2 linked regions of the Caenorhabditis elegans genome follow. The protein of the gene in region 1 interacts with the protein of each later gene in a pairwise test. Each region holds a gene or a part of one and is shown in the gene's direction. Other genes may lie near its edges.

Region 1 (7,964 bases):
CGCCTTCAAGAAGTACAGTAGCTTCCGCCATTTCCGATTTGTTTTTTTTTCTTTTAAAGATGTTTCATTTTTGTTAAAGTTATTACTTGTAAATTTAAATTAAATTGAAGAAAAGTGTAAAAATGTCAGTCGTGCAAACTAGTGTACTAAAATTATTTGACCGTGTATCGTAGTTTCACCAGATTTTTACATGCCTTTTTAAAGGCGCACGGATTTATTCAGAAAGGTCTCGGCACGCAAAATGTTTATGGTAATCTTTCTTTTTTTTTTGAAGTTTGAACATTTGGAGAGGCACCACGGTTTCAAGATCTGGTGGGGTTCCGGATCTACGTTTTGGTGCCAGATCTGGAAAACGTAGAACCGGAATCCACCAGATCTTGAAACCGTGGTGCCCCCATTTGGAAACAGATTTTTTAACAGAATTTTTTTTTAAAGCTGAAAACCGTGCAGTTTCATTGAAAAACGCAAACATTGAAGAAAAAGACTACAATAAACTTTTTGCGCGTCGAGACCCATCTGAAGAAAGTCGTGAGCCTTTAAAGAGCCATTTCAAAATTTGAAAAAAAAAATTACGATACCACGTAGAGTCAGGTTGTCCCATCACGGTGTGATCTACAATAAGTGCGGGTATTTTTGCTCAGAAAAGTGTGACGTCAGCACATTCTTAACCGTGCGACACCAGTTGGAAACTCTACGTCACGTTTCATTTTTTGTAGATCAGACTGTGATGGGACATTCTGACACCACGCGCGATACCGTTTTTGTGTGTTTGTCAATACCATAAAATTTTGCAACTTTAAAATATTTATCTAATTATTAAGTTTATGTGGAATTTAGGTGAACAACGTTCTGGCCACGTGCCGTCTTCCATTCGGAATCAAAATCGAAGAAGTCGCAGCAAAATATCCATCAGAATCCACATATGAGCCTGAACTTTCCGTTGGTCTTGTTTGGAGATCTGTGACACCAAAAGCTACTCTTCGAATTCATACGACTGGCTCAATTACAGTCACTGGAGCTCAATCGGAAGCCGATGTTCTCGAAGTACTCTCAAAGATCTATCCAATTGTTCTAGAATTCCGATGTCTCGAACGAGCCAAAGGAAATGTCGCTGCTCAGAAGAAGAGGAAACGAAAGGCACCTGTTAACAGAGGGTAAAAATTTGTAAAATTCTGGCTTCAATGTAAAAATAAAATAATTTTTTAGACCACCAATCAAACGCGAACGCTTTGATGACAGCAATTATAGAAATTCTGGAGTTATCAATAACCAGGTATGCAAATAAAAAGTGTTTCGGTGGTTTGAAAATAATACAAATTTAATTTTAAAATAACACATTTTTCTTTCAGGTCTATTTCTCTGATGAAGATGAAGATCTGTATGATGAGCTCGATTTAGAAGAATAGTTGTACCTAATTGATGCAGCCTACCCATTCATTGTAATTTTTAAAAAATCTCAATTTGCAATCATTATCTGATTACCTTTCTACATCATCTCGTCATAATTTCTCTAGTTTTAGCTTTCTATCTTCCAGTATATCTTGTTCTTTCAATTGTTCTGTGTGCTTCAAAATTCATGCTTTATCCGCTTTTTTCCTGTTCTTTTCTTTCTCTGTTTGCCGTTACCATCATCAACATCATAAGTCATCATCGAATCAACACAATCTCCTATCCATTTTTTTGTAAAATTAACACAATGATCAGAAAAACAATTCTCGCTTCCTTCTAGCTCTTTCTCTCTCCACATCCCACTATGTGCTCTCTACTTCATGTCTTCATCATGTTCCCCTCAAGCCCAGCAAATCTTAATTTTTCCTTATTTTCCATTATCTATTTTTCCTCATGAATCCCAGTTTTAAAAACAAGTAGCAGATTTTTTTTTGTTCTGAAACAATTCGCAAAAATTCCACAAAAAGTCCTTAAAAACAAACGAGTTCGTATTATAAAACTGTAACCTACCTTTTCCCAAAGTTGTTGTATTTCATTTTAATTATTTTAGAATGTGATTTTTCTACAATTCCCTTTTCATGATTCATCCTTTTTCTAGATTTAGTTATTGTCTCCCTTTACCATTTTTCTCGTTTTTGTCCATTAAATATGTTCATGATTAAATTTCAATGTCCGTATCTTTACAGAAGGTTTATGAATTTTTCAAAGTTACGAATTGTCAAAGAAACCAGAAAATCACAAAAAAGATTCAATTGAAAAAATAAAGAATTATTTACTGTCCAGTGTCCTTACGAGCTGTTGCACGGAACGCTCGTTCTTTTTCAAACTGGCGATTATCAGCTCGGTTTAAGAAGTCCATTTTGTTCAGATAACCGCCTTTCCCTCGGTTATGAGATTCCAAATCTTCCTGAAAAACAAACAATTTATTCAAAAACCTTAAACTTAAAGAAACATACTTTTAAATTATTTTGCGTCGTAAAATCTTTCCAATCTCGATCAGATTTCTCCAAAACAGAAATTTTAGAACGCTTCGACAGTGATTTTGCAGCATCAAGCAAGCCGACTCTTTTCTTTCCGGGTACAATGCTACTTTCAGACGATGTTCCAGCTGTTTCCGTTCTGAAAAAAATTATTAGAAAAATAAGAAAAAGTTGTTTTTAAATTTGTATCAAATAAAAACTCATGTCAACTCACTTTTTCGGATAAACCTTCTGATTTGTAGACTCGTTGGATGCAGATCTGTAAAATACATTTTTAAAAGTTATTTCTACTTGTTTCAAACATACGCTGCTGATTTTGGATACACCCTTTCTTCAGTTTTTGGAATATTCTTGCTTGATGTATCGTTGACAACTGGTTTCGGTGCTAGCCCAGTTAATTCTGCAAATATCGCATCCACATCAACACTTCCTTCAGTACTGTTTGCCTTTTCTGATGTATGGTCGTCACTTTGTTTTTCATTTTTCAGATGTTCAACTTCTTCGTCAATTCCATCTTCGCATTCTTCTTGATCATCGATCTGTTGAGGAGAATGAGCAATAAAAGGGCGATATCTAGGAATGCTTACTTCATCCTTTGGATCAAAATCGGTATCCTTTGTTGGATCGTAATCTTCATCGGACGATGAGTTGTAGTCTTCTTCGTTATTTTTAAGCTCCGAGGTCATTTTTCTGAAACAATTTATATTTTAAATAGTTTCACAATTTCAGTGAGAATTCAAAAGAATAAAATATGAATTAATATATTTATAAAATATGAATTAATTTATATTATAATATTATCTCAAAAAAAGTAGCGCGAGATAATTTTTCTTATTGAAGTACGCAATTGTGCGTGGTATTCAGTGTAAAATTCGACGGAGCGCACATGCTTTATGATGACTTAGCCGCCATTTTTGCATTTCATTGTCGAAATTCACTTCCTTTCATTTTTTCAAAGCACTCCCTTCAAAAACTTCATTTATATTGTTTCAGAACCAAAATGAATGCTCACGACGAAGTCCAGCGCACACTGTAAGTCATTAAACCTATATTCGTTTGAATTAACTCAATTTTTCAGGAATCCTACTTGTACCGGAACATCGGTTATCGCTCTCCAGTATAAAACTGGGGTTGTTGTCCTTACTGATCGAGTTGTTTCCTATGGAAAAATGGCTCGTTACAAGGTTTGAATTTCCGTTCAGCTGAAAGTGGATTTTCATAATATTTGTTTCCAGAATGTTTCTCGTCAATACAAGGTCAATGATAATGTTCTCATTGCCTTCGGAGGAGATCACGCTGACTTCCACTGGCTTCAAAATGTGATCGAGCGTCAGGTTCTTCTCTGGAAGCGCTTCGATCAGGATATTGGACCAAAAGCTCTCCACGGATACCTCACAAGCCTTCTCTACGCCAAGTCTGTTTTCCTAATTAAATTGAAAGTTTAAGTAAAAAATTTCAGACGTTGCAAGATGAACCCAGTGTGGAACACACTTGTTGTCGCCGGAGTCGAAGAGGAGGAGAAGAACAACAAGGAGACTAGCACACCTTTCATCGGTGTCATTACTCAGAAGGTAAACTTGAAAGCGTTAACTTGCCGGATCAGAATCTCATGATTAAATAATCACATAATAATTATTCTAAATTTCAGGGATGCGCATATCAAGTGAAGCACATTGCAACTGGACTTGGAGCGTTCCTCCTCAACCAAGCTGTTGAAGATGAGTGGAGAAAGAAGGGAGAAGACCTCTCCCGTGAAGAGGCAGAAGCCGTGCTTCGCAAATCGCTTGAACTTACTCTCTACCACGACTGCGTCGCTGACAATGAGTTCGAAATCGGACGTGTTGATGCGACAGAAGGTGTCGTTTTGGGTAAAGAAGAGAAGATTATTGGTGACTGGTCGATTGCCGAGACTAACTGTCAATATGAATAAGTTTTCCCCGGTGTGCAGGATGCGTTTCAGTATCTCCATGTTTAACTTATTTGTATCCTTCTTTTCAAAACATTTTACTCTCTCCAACCCACGTTTTCGGTGTAAATTTTATTTATTTTCGCGTGAAGTCGATAAATAAACTTCCATTTAATCCTTCTATTCACGTCTAAGTATTCACACGCATCATTTCACAAGTGCTCGAGTCAAAAATAGCGAGCATGAATTTCTCTGGTTTAAAAAGTATGATGAGTTTTTGGTTTAAAGTAAAATCGAGCGCTTTCAGGTAAACTCCAAAAGCTCAGTTTATCACCATCGCCTGATAAACAGAAATCTGATTATGAAAAGAAACAGGCGAAGAAGATGAGCTACAAAAAGAAGATGCAGCAGCGGTATAAACTGAGTGATGATCAGTATGAAACTCACAAGTAATTAAATAAATTGATGTATATGTAATAACTTATCTGATTTGGTTTCCAGGAAGGATGCTCAGAAACAACTGAAAAATTGGGAAGAATTTCGAAAGGAGCAAGTAGTTGAAATCTTTCATACGCAGTCTCAATACGTTTCGAAATCGAAAAATTCAGACGTGGTAAGCATACAGTATATATATATATATATCTCGCCGCGCAAAGGAAGTGCTTAATTACGGTTTTTACTATCCATCTAAAAAGTTAAAAAGAAATACATTATTTCTTGAAATTCAGCGCCATCCAAAGATGCAACGAGCCAATACGGTTGTCAATCGTCAAGGAGTGAAAGTTGATGTAGAATTTGGACGATTGAAAGAATACTACTTATCCACTTTGGCTCCACAAAAAAAGTTTGTGTCGATTCGTGATCACGTAACATAGAGATTATAGAGAAATTTACTTTAACCATGAACTTTAGGCAGCTCGTGAAAAGGAACTGGACGCTCTTCGTAAGAAACAGAAAATCAGTTTGGAGCAAAGGAAAGATAAACAGGACAACATAAAAAAGTCCCAAGCAGAGTACGATCAGATGAAAAGGTTTCAATGGGTCGAATGGTTTTATGTAGAAATTATCATATTTTAGCTTATACGCTGCCCCTGTCGATCCCAAGCAAACAAAAGTGGAAACAATGGAGCAAAAAGAAGTTTTAGAGCCAACAGCCCCGATGGAGAAATTCGGTAAAACTACGAAACAATACAGAAATCGGAGTGTTTATTTTCAGTTGTGAATACCACTGACGACAAAAGAGCCCTGTTCCCAGCCAGTTGGTATCAACAACCGATTTCCCGTTCGCAATTGAAGAAAGGAAAGATGATTTATTGGATGGCAAAAGACGAAGAGTAATTTTCGTGGCTTGCATCCGTTGGATCTTAATATTTGAATTTCAGAGAGGATATGACGTTGGACGATGATCCAGAGGGAAAGTACACGGTTACTGCTGAAAAGTTGATTGAGACAATGACTGCTGGGGGGAAAGTTAAACATGCTGGAATAACAGAACCACCTAGCAACACAGCAAACACCATCATGTCCGAGTCCTTGGCATCAATTAATGCGAGATACAAGAAGAGTTGTGAAAGAAATGCTGTTTTCATGAATACCTTGCACGGTACTATTGAATTCAACAAGAAACAAGTATCTGTAGATAAAACCCTCTCTACAAGTTCAATAAGCCAGGATGATGCGACCGAGTAAGAATTTCGAAACTGATTTTTCTCTAACGAGTTTTATTTTTAGCGCTCCGAATCAAATCATTTTTGCTCCAACAATCACTTCTCATGTTTTCAAAGGCCGATCTCTGAAAAGACAGTATGCAGTGAAAAATAAGGCACTTGAAACTTTTGAGGAAGATCGGAAGGATTACACTCGAGAGGCTGGAGAAGAAACTAGTGGATTGTAATTTTTTGTATTGAACTAGAAAAATAAAGCCTTAATTTCTTTTATCTAACAAACGTTGAAGAAAAAACACATATTTTCACAAATGAATATGCTTATCGATGTATTAAGCTTCGAGGGCAGCGAGTCTCTTCTTTTCGGCAACCTTAGCCTTTGTATCCTTCGAGACATAATTGGCTGGAACAATGTACCCGAAAATGTAGCGACGTCCAATCATTTCTCCGACAAAGAACCAAAAGACTACCTCGAGGGCAACTGCCGAGTAGACGAGACTTTCCTGAAGTTATTTTTTATTGAGTGTTGTTTCAGCGTGTAACAAATTACCTTGATACTAAGGTTGACATATTGCTTGGTCTCAATAAACTTCTGGAGCTTAGCCCAGTCCGCCTTGATAGCTGGGATGTCAGCAGACCGGGGTGGAGCCAGCTCGTGCTTTCCAACAGCCTTGAGAATAGCGAGACGGCGTGGGAACTGCTGAGCTTGATGACGGTAAAGAGCTCCAAAGGTGTTGGCCAACTTTTCGAAGAAGCTCAGCTTGTGGGTCGCCATCGCTGAAAATTTCGAGTGTGAATGAGAGAATGTGTTTCGAAATTAATAAGGCAATAAAATTGGGAGACGAGGGAATCAATTATTGAATAGATCATTAAAATTTATTTGTTCCTTAAATGAAACTTAATAGAAAGGGAATAATGTTGCCCATGAGTGCTCATTCATTAAAAAAATCCCCCAAAATACAAGCAGCCCGTTTTAATCAAGACAGTAGTATATTTGAATCGTGGTGGGACCCTTTAAGCAATCGAGAAAGAAATCCTTGGTTTTTTTAATTCAGCGAGGCTGTCCGCAGTTGAGCGGCACGGTGTTTGCGGACTTTTACAAACCGTATCTCATTGAGTTCCAAGGCGCCGTGGAAATTTTTTTTGTTTTAATTTTCATGAATGATTAGATTAATTAATATTAAGTCAGTTTTGAACGGTATTTTTGTTCAATTTTCTATAATACTTTCAGATGATAAATCTTCGAAGATTTGTGCACACATCGTGTCGGCTGGAACGAGGAAGAACAGCGTTCTACAACGTTCATCAAAAAGTGGGTGGAAAAAAAAACAAAACTAGCCACAATTTGATATATCATTTTCAGGTCACCGACCCAGCCAAGCAAGATCCGGATTACTTTGAGAAAAAAGCGAGAGAACTGCCACTGGGTGAGTATATTCAAGTACCGAGATATATATCTCTATTAAGTGATTTTCAGATCAAAACTACATCGATGCACTTACGAAGCTTTACTACGAAAAAATTGGCAGTGAACGCGATTTGGGTTTGAAAGCAGCTGATAATTTGGTATGATAATCAAGAGTTTTATAGATATAAGCAATATTCTTGCAGATTCTCGAAAAAACCGAATTCGGATTGCCTCGTATTGAAAAATCGAAAACTCGTGCGAAATATGAAGATTTAGATGTTCTTTCGAATGCTCCAGAGTCTGTCAAAAAGATTTTTAGTGTTGAAATGGCGACGAGAAAAGAGTTGTCACAAGAATGGAAACAAAGTCTTATCAAATCAGTAAGGCAGCATTCTCTCGATGAAAATAGTTTGGAAATGAAAAGTTTGTTTGAGAAATAATCACAAAATATTATCTAAAATTAATTTCAGTTGCCTGGCTAACGGCTTTAATTCGGCATTGGTCTCTTCTTGTTAATGACATTGGACAGGAAACCAAAAAAGTAGTTTAACATTTTA
Region 2 (12,111 bases), on another chromosome or scaffold:
GCTCTCGTATCCAGCTTGACGGCGGGAACGAAGAGCTCCTCCAGAAACCTTGGCGAGAACTTGAGTGCGGGTAACCTCTCTCCAGATGTTTCCAGATCGGGAACGGCAGAAATCAACTTCGGATTGCATAACGGATTGCATGTGTTGCATGTAGTTGTAGAGCATTGGGGCGGCAATGACGCACACCAATGTGGCAGTGAAGGAGACGGCAACTCCGACAAGAGCCGTACGGCGGAGGGAGCTAGCCTCTTGCTCGAGTTGTTTGATATCAGACATCTGGAACGAAAAGTCAGTCTCAGAAAAGAAATATCGTATCTTATCAAAGCTATTCACTCATTTAGAAAAAAGTCATGGACTAAAAGGGATATATTTTCAAGAAAAGTTATCTCTATCTCTACAGTATGTAAGAAAAGAAGGGAGAGGAAACGCTTACCTTAAATTGATGCAATGAAACACCTACCAAATGCCATTCGTAGGCGTCTTTTATACTTACTGGAGGCGGTGTTTATCGCAAGGTGGGTCGGCATGAAAGTCTTTCAGCTTGTGAAACGCAGACTATCAGAATAAGAAAAGCAGCTATGCCAAGGTCAAGCTCTATCGTTCCCTACTCTCTGTCTTATGCTATATCATTGGATCTGACACTAAAGCTGATAGATTGAGGAAGTTTATTTTTGATTAAGCTAATTATCAATGTTCCTAAAAGTTTTTAAAGTAAAAAATACAGGTGAACTGGAAGTCCTGAAGAGAAAGTGTTTTCTTGCGAGTTTATCCATTTCTACTATGTTTTCTTTCATTTAAAACATGGGAAATACCAGTAACACTATTTCGTGAAAATGTTCCTTTCTGCGCAAACCTGGAAGACGTGCCTAAATTGACCTGAAAATTTGTTACACAAAGCAATATTCATTACAACCATTTTTATGATTCATTCATACACCTCAAATATGCACGATGTAATAATCAATGTTTCCTTGTTTTCAAGACAAGGCGCATCGTCTTTGTTTCATTCTTGTAGAATATTTGTCGACTTTTCTCGACGCCATAATTACCCGTCAACCGCCACACAACCCAACCCAATCCTACGACCACATAAGAATAATGAAGCTGATGTGGCATTGCCACATAAGACGTACAATACAGTCGATAGACAACAAAAAAGTTTATTTTTGACCGGGAAACGACTAAAAGGGGTCTTCCACACTTTTGTTTACCTGGTCATCAAGTTGGGCTTTCAGTTGAACAACAACAAAAAACGACCAATTTTGTTTTGTACACTGACCCCCATGACCGCTGAAAGATAACAGAACTTGTTTTTTCTGGAATTTTATATACCAATCAACATTTGATTAAAGAAAAAACAAATTGCTCTTAGTTCAGTTTTATTGATTCTAAGTTATTTCAGTACATATAAATATATTAGTCGACTTTCAGAATTATGTCACATAGTTTTCCCATTTTTACTGTAAAAAAAATTAGAAACGTTTTATTTGGTATTCAAGATAAACTTTTTTAGCTTTTTGAAACTCAAAATGACACCACAAGATCAATCTTCATAACGAGAATTTTCAACTTTTGATCAAATTTTTTTAATGGTGGTTCAAAATTTTGAGCAAATTTTAAATAGCCTTATTATGAAATTCAGCTTTGAAGAATATTTATTTTCCAAAAAAGAAAAGAGTGTAATGCACAAGTACTTGAATATATTCGGAGATGTAAAAAGTTTGATTTTTTTATCAAAAAAAAGACTGAAATGCATAATCTAAAAATTTTGGGGCAATTCTTTGGTGTCTTTTTGAATATCATAAAAATCAAATTATAATTTTTTTGCAGATCAACTTATGATTTTAGGATATCTTATGGCGGTGATAAGCTGGTGGGTAACAAAACACAATTATCAAATTTGCATTTAATAATTTTCTTCCTTTCTAAGTTTAAGTCTTTACACTACTCAATTTCAATAAGAATTTCAAATAGAATTAATATCGTCCATCGCGGCACATATGTGATGTTATCTTGAAGCACTTTAATGCATTCTTGTTTTTTTTTTGATGTGTAGAAATGACACGATAGGAACTACCGTTTCAGTCCCCGCTAGTAAAGGAAGCTCCGTGAAATTACCTTCTACTATTTCTACGACACAACAACTTCCTATTTCCTTGTTTCTTGTTTTCAAGGTAAGCGATTTTATCAATTAGAGAGATATGCTTTTCCGGCAAGCGTTTTGCGACCTTGGCGCTGACCCTGGAAAAAGGAAAAAGGGAAAAAAAAAACGGCGCCGTCTTGCTCTGAGATTGACATCTAAATGACCAAAGTTAGAAGTTTCCAAAGTTGCAATGATACATAGAATTATAGACTCTAGTTAAAGCTTGATCTTCGATCAGTAAAACTTCAGCCATCCGTAGATGTAACAGAATAAAAACGGTCTTCAGTTTTTTTAATTGGCCGACTATGTCAATGACGCAACAAATCGCAGCTTATCGCCGATAAGAAAGATATATTGAGGAACACCACGTACATATTGCGGACACTTTCTCCTCATCAGCTTCCACAGTTGTTCTTCCTTTCGAGGTTCGTTCTGAACCCTCATCATCAGCCTTAGTATCTCAGCCGCTCCTTCATTAGGTCTACACTTGCCATCACCCACACCGATAGCTGCCCTTGAAAAAACCGGCGTCACCTCAAACCTTGTCTGCGACTCATTATCTTCATCATCTTTTCTCGCTTCAACCCAAGCCCCGGAGGACCGCTTTCTTCTGTTTTTTACATGCGCTGGGAAAGAGAGAAATGAGAAAAAACCCTATCTGTTCGGTTTTTTTCTGTTTCACTTCCTCGAGGAAGTCATTAAAAAATGCCACCAAGGTGGTAGGGATAAATGAAAAAAAAAGAAGCGTAAATAAGGAAATTTGGGTTTTTCGTCGACATTTCAAACATTATCAAAACACCTGTCAGCTATAATTGTATTAATTCCCAAATAAATCGAAATTAGCAAGTCGCCGTAAATGTCGTATTTGGAACGGTATTAAACATTTAATAAGTGACGTAATCTGCTTGTTCCAATCAGCATCAAGAGGAAAAAGTCTACAAAAAACCTTCATCTCACTATGGGAATTAGAACAGTGAAAATTACAAAAATGTCGTGGTATATCATCTGGGAAAAAAGTTTTTTCGGGTAAAACTATCTGCATGAAATGATCAAAAAACACTTGAAAATCCGACAAACACAATAGATCAAGTGGTTGAGAGATGTGCTCCAGCATCGTGTCTATCCGGAAAATCAAAAACGTGCCCTTTCAGTGTTTTCCGCCAGGGCCGTCATAGCAAAGAAGATTATGGCGGCAACATGATGGTCTGAATTGTGCTATTCTTTCATTTGGGTACAATTGTTTTTTGTGCGTTGTGCGTCTATGAAATTGAAACAAAGTGGAAATGAAATGAATGTGCCAAGGAAAAAAGGAATTAAAGAAAGTATTGAAAAGTTGAAAGTTAATCTGCAAAATAAATAATATATGTAGTGCCGAATTTGGAAAATCACATATTTTTTGGCCATACTGAAAAATTGCGATTATTAAGTATGCCGAAACTGATTTTGAACTCAGTGTCTGAGCAACTTTTGTAACTTTTCAATTAAAAGTAATGACATACTAAAAATGTAAAAAAAACACATGTAGTAGCCATATTCCTAAAAAGTTGTTTTATTAAAAAACAAGTATGACCGCTTTACAGTGTGAATTTCGGAAATAGTAAGTTTTTAACCTGTGTTGAACAAGCCTTAAAACATATCTTTATTCTAAAAAAGTTCATAAATTTTTGGATTTGCAGAACCTCAATGGCTCATTCCTTATTACCAGAACCTCCCTTTGCACTCAAATCGGGTTAATGTCGTCATTCATAAATGAATCAAGTAAAACTGTTTGCAGATTCGACATGACTCATACTCCTGTAAATTGTCTAATTTTCACCAACTCCTCATATTTTGCCATGATATTTCCGCATCGCGAGGGGGTCTTCCATGTGCGTCGGCAGAGCGTCTCTGCGGAAACTGGTCTAATGCTCGACGAGCCGATGCCGCCTCATATAAACGGACGTGCTGCGATATACAGTCTCCGGAAATCTAACATAGCGAGTCAAGAAATCCAGACAGTTTGTCTCTATTCATTCCATATTTTAAATTATATATTTTATACTAATTTATTCATAATTTATATATGAGATGGAGTTATATATTTCTATGTTACCATTTTTAACTATTTTGTTACTGCCACACCCTTCACAAGGTAAATTTTTTCGTGATATTTTGATTAATAGTATCAAATCACTGTATCAAATCATATTTATCTAGACACATTGTGTCAAAAGAAGTCAAATAGCATTCTGTTATTATTATATGATTTAAAACACAGATGAGATATTAAACTATAAAATTTTGATAATCTTAAATACCTTAATTGGAGCATATTTCTTTCCTTTAAGTTGAATCTGGACACGAAATTTGTCATTCAAAAAGAGCAGATTTCTCAACAAACAAAAAAGAGTTCGAATTTCTTGATTTCCACCGCGCGGACGGAAAGAAAAAACAAACGAAAACGTTTCAAGTACTTTTTCTCGTCTTTGTAGTCTCCTTCTAGCCTCTCATCATAAAGTTATTCAGGTCAATTACGAGCAAAATTGATTCATGATTTTCAATTAAAGATGAATCCCATCAAACTTCCGCGTTCCAGTTTATCTAGTTCAAGGGCGACAAATAGTAGTAGTACGCACAAAAAACCGTTTCTGTGGTGGCTATCACTTGCAAGATCGGTATCATGTCATTTCTGATTTTAAATCCCAAGGCATTCAAGAACATACTCAAGGTCGGATTCGCTTAGTGGCATCTAGAGGTTCAAAGAACCAAACCCTAAGACAGAAAAATGAGTAAAAGGACAGTGACAAGTGAAACATCACTATAAACTAAAAAACTTATAAACTTAACTTCGAATCGGGCACTCAAATATTTAAATTTTAGGGATCGAAAACTCTCCGTCCGCTGGAAAGGTGTGCATGACAGTTGAACATCTAAGACCTGCGGATAACTCGACACAATTTTACGAGTGTGCGCCACTCAATGAGGATGAAGTAAAAGGATACGCGCTGAGCAAGAAATACCTGGGTGTCTGGAACCTACGAGACTGTCCCAAGGAACACGAGTTTGACGAGCCGAAACAACGATGTATCGAGAAGAAGACATTCAGAAGGTGAGTTTTGAAGAAGGAGTAGGAAACATTTTGTAGATAATTTTACGTAGAGAAAAAATCTGAATTTTTTAGAGTTTCAGCGATTCCCCCAAACTTAATATTCTTTTTTCAAAAGTGGAGTAGGGCCAGTGGTGGTGAAATTGTGAAAAAAAAACTGAGTGGTGAAATTGTGAAAATGTGGTGTACAAATTACCAAATATCACAGTGAAACTGTTTACATAATTTGAAAAAATTATCTATTGACAGTTAAAAGGTGCATACAATGATTGAATATCAGTATGTATATGAAACATAAAGAAACCATTAAATTCAAAAGAAATAACTTTCTAATAGACGATTTCTAAAAAAAGTATCAAAAACTGATTACCACTTTCTGAAACAATATAAAGAATTTCTCATTTTGGCACCAAAAGAGTGGTTTTTAACAATTTCCCCACTGTCGCAGTTTTATATTTAAGTAAACTTCTTCAGAACTCAGAGTAAATATTTTTTAGGCAACAAGTCGCTTGCGCACAAAATGTTCAGGCATCCGGATGTGTCTCTGCTTGTCAAGGTATTTCAAAAATTGATTGAACAGAGTCAAAAAGTCTTCTTTATTCAGCCCCAACCGCAGTTGCTAACCAGGGTATGGAATGTAATTGGCGTTCGTCCCCACTTCAACAAGATCCTGCAAGCAACGCATACTTCTTCCAGTGCGTCCCATCCTCGCCTACTGAAGGATGTGGAGAATGGACACGTATGCAATGCTCCCAATCGACAGTTTTTAATTCTGATTTGAATGTTTGTGTACCACTTGCCATCCAGAACTCATGTGATAGTTCCACCCAACAGCCTGTTTGTAGCTGTTCTCAAGTTTCCAGCTCTTGCCCAGGAACTTCCCAATGTCAAAACGTAGGTTTTGATGTATATTAGGAATTAAAAAACAAATTTTAAAATTTTATTACAGAAAGTTTGTTGCCAACAAACGGATACTCTAAACTTGAACAATTTGATTCAACATCAAGCTCCCCGTAAGTTGAAAGATTGGAAAAATACCTATTTCTTGATCATTTTACAGTCTGCCCCGGTTCAAATGTGCCACCACTTGGTTCATGCAACGAGCAGTGTCCGCAGTGTGAGAAAAAAAAGCTAACAACTAAAACTTCTAAAAAACAATGTAAACATTTCAGACTCTGCTTGTACCCCAGGATTGGGATGCTGCCCAGTTCCAGTGAATGAGCAACCAACAGGAATGATTAAAATTAGTAAGTAAATATAAAAATATTGCTGCGAGCACTATTGACTGTGCACATTGTACACTTTGCGGACCTTGCGGACTTCACTGTCCTGCAAATATAAAAAATTGTATCGATTTCTGGGACTGTATGTTGTATACATTATGTGATACGGTTTCTTGCAATTTCAAATAAATTTCTGTAACCGTGCCCAAAAAATAAGTTTTCCATTTATTTTTATTAAAAATGGTAATTTGATCAAAACATGAGGTTACGTTGCTTAGCCTAAAGTTGTAAAAGAGATCACGGTATTTTTCATCAGTTACAATTTTTTGAATCTTGGGCATCTTTTTCATACGATTTTTTCCAGCTCTCTGCCCTGGCTCTTACTCCCCACCGTTTGGAGTTTGTGGATCTTGCCCATCTGGAACACAATGCAACCAACAACTTCAAATGTGTTGTCCTCTACAACAACAACCATCCACAGATATTGTCTACAATGTTGTACTTCTTTGTCCTGACGGAACACCATCGACAACTTCTTGCTCCAAAGGATGTGGGCCAAACAATGCTTGTTTCCAGGGAGCTTGTTGCCCGATTCGTTGCCCAGTTGGACAGGTGGGCAATTTCTTATTTAAATAAGAAAGTACAAAAGTCAAATATTAAATTTTAGAACGCTGTGGGATTCTGCTCTTCTGGATCTTGCGGAGTTGGAAGTTGTTACTCCAAAACAACATGTTGTCAAGAGCCAATTAAACTCCCGGTGTGCTCGAACGGCATGATTTCTCAAAAACGTTGCCTGGTCGCAGCCGAATGTGGCCTGAACCTTGAGTGTTCAAACGGTGGGTGCTGTCCAATACCGTTCTGTCCAAATGGAGTAACAGCCCGTGGCCGATGTTCTCAAGTGAACGGATGTCCAATGGGGCAAGCTTGTATGGAAGGTCTTTGCTGTCCACTGCCAAAATGCTCCAATGGTATAACATCTCTCGGAATTTGCACAAGAACCTTGGATTGTGGTCGAATCGGTGTTGACTGTAACAACGGAGCATGCTGCCCACTACCAACTTGCCCGAACAATATTGCATCGTCACAAAGATGTTCGGGTGGATGTACGAACTGTTGTCCAGTAGGACAGACATGTATGAACGGTGGTTGCTGCGATCTTCCGTCGTGTCCATCTGGTGGATTTGCAATTTCAATGTGCACTGGGAAATGTGGAACTGGCTTTGAATGTGTGAACAGCGGTTGTTGTTCTCTTCCAAGATGCCCAAGTGGTCTAATGTCGGTTCAGAGGTGTGCAATGGGAATCGGGTGCCCACCAGGAAATGTAAGTTTTGGGTTCAGTTAGTTTATTACGCAGCTTTCAATTTTTTTTACTACTGACGTTCAAAATTTGATAACTACAAAGCACGACTCGACAATCAAACAAACAAATTTTTTGTAGCAATGCGAAAATGGTGTTTGCTGTCCAATGCCAATGTGCTCCAGCGGAAGTATTGCGTCGTCTGTTTGCGGAATGGCTAACTCTTGTCCGATAGGTTACATTTGCGAAGGTTGTTTTTTCTTACTGAAAAAATTAAACAAACATGTTTCTTGCAGGCCGCGGATGCTGCTTGGAGCCACTTCCTTTGTGTCCAAATGGAGGAAGAGCTTCAATGAGATGCTATCGGGGAGCAGAATGCCCACCAGGTTATGGATGCACTCCACTAGGTACTTAAAATGAATTCAAAGAAATTAATCTGAGCATATACTTACAGGAGGTTGTTGTCTTCTCTCAATGGAACCAGTGTGTCCAACCAGATCCAACGCAGTTTGCCAATGCTCACCCAACAATGTTTGTCCGTCAGGCGCGAGCTGTACTATGGGCACGTGTTGTTCGAGCGGAATAAGCCCTATTGTCTCGTTCAGTGTTCCTGGCACAAGTTGCCAGAATTCGAACCAGTGTAATGGATTCCAAAGCACGTGCGCACAATGTGTTCAAGAAGTTTGTTCATGTGTCAATGGGGCAGCGTCGAATGGAGCAACGTGTGAACAAATGGCACCGACAGTTTTGACGTTGGCAAGAAACGGATGTGATCAATATGGTTCTCCATGCAAATTCCTTTTGTCGACAGCACGACGACGCCCACTTTTTGCACCGATTGGCAATATGACTGAAACTCCACGTAAGAATAGTTATACGAGTATATTTTCAAAAGTTCAAAAATTACAGTGTTCTTCAACGTGGCATCCAAAAGAAAATGTGTCGCCAACATTCAAAATTTTGATGCCGACTCAACATGTCTTCCAAACGAAAAATGTATTGACGGAGAATGCAGGATGTAATGCTCTTTAGGAAGGCAATATTTATATGGTTTTTTTTTCAGGAAACTGTGGCCTGGAGAATACGGTTGCCAAACCGACATTGAATGCCAGTCTAGATGCCCGAACACCTACTGCGAAAAGAAGAAGAGTGATAAAAATGTTCCACAATGCCAATGCACGAATGGAATGCTTCTCTATGGAAGATGCTGTTAGTTTCTAAGAACCTGGAAGTTAATGTCTAATTTCTGTTTCAGTCTCCCAGTGTCCACGAGGATTCCACGAGTCTGGAGCATTCTGTATGCACGACGATGAAGACAAATTTTGGATGGATGCTGAATCCCAAGATAATCTGAAAGCTCTTTTAAATGCTGGCAAATGTTGATCTCATGAAACGCCAAAAGCTCCGCTATAAATGTATATATGGACTTATATGAAAATGTATTGATGTTTAATTAATATTAACATGAAATAAAAATATTTATCCGCAATATTATTGTTTTCAAACCTCATATGACACCTGAAAAAAAAACAAAAAAGTCCTAGACCTGGATGCCAGCACAGTAGAGTATACCTACATTTTATTAAATGTTTATTATAATAAATCAACTTTAAAATACGTCTTAAAGATGAAACATGAAACATAGCGGGTAATGCCGGTTTCATCAGTCTGACGCATTTTGGCTTCAAGACGTCAAAGTTAATTTTGAATAGACTTTGACTCTCAAGAAAATCTGAAATCTCTTTTCATTGCTCGTAAACGTTCGTCTCATGAAAACGTAAGTGCTCCGTTATAATTGTGATTATGGAACTGTACAAAAAAGTTTTATTTTTATTTTTTTAAGAAAACAATTAAATGGAAATATAACTTATCAGCAATATGATGTGGTCTTACAAAATAAAACCAAATGGAAAGAAAAGAGAATTAAACATTCGGATACAGTTCAACATCAAAGGTATGTAAAATTTTTAAAAATCCGTATGAACAAAAATATGAAACCAGTTGAAAGAGTGAAAAAGATCGTGTTTCTATATTGAGATAACTATGTCTTAAGTATAGTTTTAGATTTCACGTTCTGTGAAATGTCGGTGAAGTTTAATATTCTATTTAGTTTTAACAATTGAACAAAACGTTAATATATTTGATCATTTAAAAAATCTCAAATCTAATACTATTCCTAAACAAAAGGTGTTGGGAAAATAGTTGTCACACATCTCGCAGTTAACTGATATGTTTAGATCCAATTAAAACAATTTCCGGCCTAATTTCTTAAAGTCTAATGCATTTTTTGAGAAAATGACATAAATGGAACGCCGCATTCAATCGTGAGAACAGTTGTTACTTGAATCGCCAATGATGTTCAGAGGGAGGGATCTGAATCTGAACCTTTGAAATGCTTTAGTGAGATGCTCTTAGAAACAAAGGACCTTACGATAGATGCATGACACGGAGACATGAAATACAAAGAGATGATAGACAAAAACGAACGCTGTGAGGCACGATAATGCAATTGTGAAACACCCTACTGTCATATTCACACTGTGCCTTACATCTACCGATTTTCACTTACCTTGTTCTCGGCTGATTTGCACTATCTTTTCCACTGATTCCATCTTTGTATTTGCACGACAGAAAGCACAACTTCTTTTTCATTTCTTTGCGAAAATGTTTACTGCAACAAAAATAAAATTGAATACCTAGAATACTCTACTCCTTACCTGCTCATGCAAAAAAGTATGAAATTTGCAACTTTGGAGCATGTGACAACGGTTGTGGAAACTTGAACACTTGTGTACATCCATCTTGTTGAGTAAAGAACGTTATGAAACAGGTTGCTGAAATTAGTATACTTTTCTTGTGCTTTTTCAAAAACTTCTAGAAATTAAATTGAAATAATTGCTGTTTTTACTTCCTGAGATCAAAAAATTAAAACAAAAACTTACATGTAAACATATAGGCATGCAGATGGAATATGTGAAACAATGTAGCATGTGACAATTGCTATGACCGTATAAGTTACATGACGTTCGGCTTTGTTCACATGGCGATTCCAAACACCACTGAAAATTGCAAAATTGAATAATACAAATTATGAGTCACTAAGTTTTGCACCTGTTAGAAGAATGATGTCGCACTACTTCCGATCGATCGGTTACGTTGGATAAAAGTGGAGCAGGGACGTCATCGGATCTTGTCGAGTTTCTTGCACTTCTTGTTCGAGCCGGAAAGAAGTGCTAAATATCTTTAAGTTTTTTCTACTGACTTTTTGATGATTTGTTTGTTACCCTAAATCGGTTACGAAGATAATACAGCAAGCAAGTATGAAATGATATTAAAAGAATCATTGGGATCAGAATGTGGAAGATGAACATGAAAACTGTCATTACTTGGATCAAAGTGATTCTGTTATCTTCAATATTTTCCATCTGAAAATTTCATTATAGTTTCAATAATGAAATTATTGTTCTAACCGTTGAATTCGTAAAATTTCCAGAGCCTGCATGGTCATCAAGCAGTTTGAAATTCATATGAAAGCAGCTTGCACCCGTGAAGAAAAGGATTAGTGGAATCGCAACAAGGTTATGTCTTGGGCAAATTCTGAAAAAAAGAACTAGTTCAAGAATAACAACGAAAAACTGAGTTACGTTTGCAGTCGAGCAGAAAATGGAGCCTTTATCGCGTATAGTCGGTCAAATGATACCGTCACAATGAACCTGGAATGTGCTCTTTTAAACTATAAGAATGGAGTTTTATGTTTCAATACCAAGTGCTAGCCGCAGAAAACCAGTTTGCAAGAAAAGCTAGATGATGTTTGTGAACTGCAAACCACATGTGATATTCCGATGCACATTTTCTCTCTGGGTTATCTGAAATGTAAGACGTTATTATAAATGGTAAATCCAAAAAAACTTACCGGGACAGTCGGAAAGAACCATTGACGGCCAACGACTCAACTGATTTGGAACCATACAAATAATGTAGAGGATGTCACTAAAAGCTGCTGCCGCCAGCATTTCATTTGTGCTTAAATGTTTAATAATTGGCATTACATTCTTATTTGTTTATTGAGGTAAAATATTCATTGTTATGGAGTGCAAAACTTTTAGAAAAAAAAAACGTTTTATAAAACTAAGTGAAATTATTGTTTCAGATCTTCTGACTTCTTTTTTTTTTCTTTAAAAAGTTACCAACCTGTTTCTCATTGATCTACTAAGCAAGACAAATAATGTGATAGAATTACCAAAAACACCCAGTATTGCCAAGAATGGGAACATGTACTCACAACTCAATGCGAGTATTCTTTGTATGTCATCGCCTCCCATTCTGAAAAGAATGTTGATAAATTCCCATTTATGAAAGCATA

The links.
Region 2: the proteins of pbs-7 (region 1) and chtb-3 interact in a two-hybrid assay, tested with the Caenorhabditis elegans proteins (2 studies listed by BioGRID).

Annotation. Positions count from the first base shown.
Region 1 is NC_003279.8:8,691,758-8,699,721, reverse strand, and holds pbs-7 (Proteasome subunit beta), read left to right. Parts: upstream 1-3,420; 5' UTR 3,421-3,429; coding exon 3,430-3,461; intron 3,462-3,507; coding exon 3,508-3,613; intron 3,614-3,664; coding exon 3,665-3,843; intron 3,844-3,888; coding exon 3,889-4,000; intron 4,001-4,077; coding exon 4,078-4,359; 3' UTR 4,360-4,517; downstream 4,518-7,964. Other genes in the region: tlf-1 (TATA box-binding protein-like 1), read left to right, coding at 838-1,154, 1,207-1,273, 1,350-1,406; F39H11.1 (Craniofacial development protein 1), read right to left, coding at 2,222-2,356, 2,406-2,568, 2,644-2,688, 2,736-2,968, 3,017-3,115; K07A12.5 (Pre-mRNA-splicing factor SYF2), read left to right, coding at 4,578-4,599, 4,643-4,784, 4,837-4,948, 5,064-5,201, 5,248-5,366, 5,413-5,507, 5,552-5,669, 5,718-6,020 and 1 more; asg-1 (putative ATP synthase subunit g 1, mitochondrial), read right to left, coding at 6,332-6,502, 6,550-6,774; mrps-15 (Small ribosomal subunit protein uS15m), read left to right, coding at 7,231-7,311, 7,363-7,426, 7,477-7,565, 7,611-7,830, 7,878-7,948.
Region 2 is NC_003284.9:6,311,653-6,323,763, reverse strand, and holds chtb-3 (EB domain-containing protein), read left to right. Parts: upstream 1-4,117; 5' UTR 4,118-4,210; coding exon 4,211-4,274; intron 4,275-5,002; coding exon 5,003-5,231; intron 5,232-5,725; coding exon 5,726-5,784; intron 5,785-5,832; coding exon 5,833-6,122; intron 6,123-6,177; coding exon 6,178-6,241; intron 6,242-6,288; coding exon 6,289-6,345; intron 6,346-6,400; coding exon 6,401-6,475; intron 6,476-6,815; coding exon 6,816-7,063; intron 7,064-7,118; coding exon 7,119-7,772; intron 7,773-7,889; coding exon 7,890-7,998; intron 7,999-8,044; coding exon 8,045-8,155; intron 8,156-8,202; coding exon 8,203-8,610; intron 8,611-8,657; coding exon 8,658-8,766; intron 8,767-8,811; coding exon 8,812-8,957; intron 8,958-9,003; coding exon 9,004-9,131; 3' UTR 9,132-9,235; downstream 9,236-12,111. Other genes in the region: col-167 (Nematode cuticle collagen N-terminal domain-containing protein), read right to left, coding at 1-276; npr-38 (G-protein coupled receptors family 1 profile domain-containing protein), read right to left, coding at 10,067-10,133, 10,318-10,419, 10,466-10,582, 10,691-10,807, 10,860-10,981, 11,033-11,173, 11,219-11,345, 11,393-11,461 and 3 more.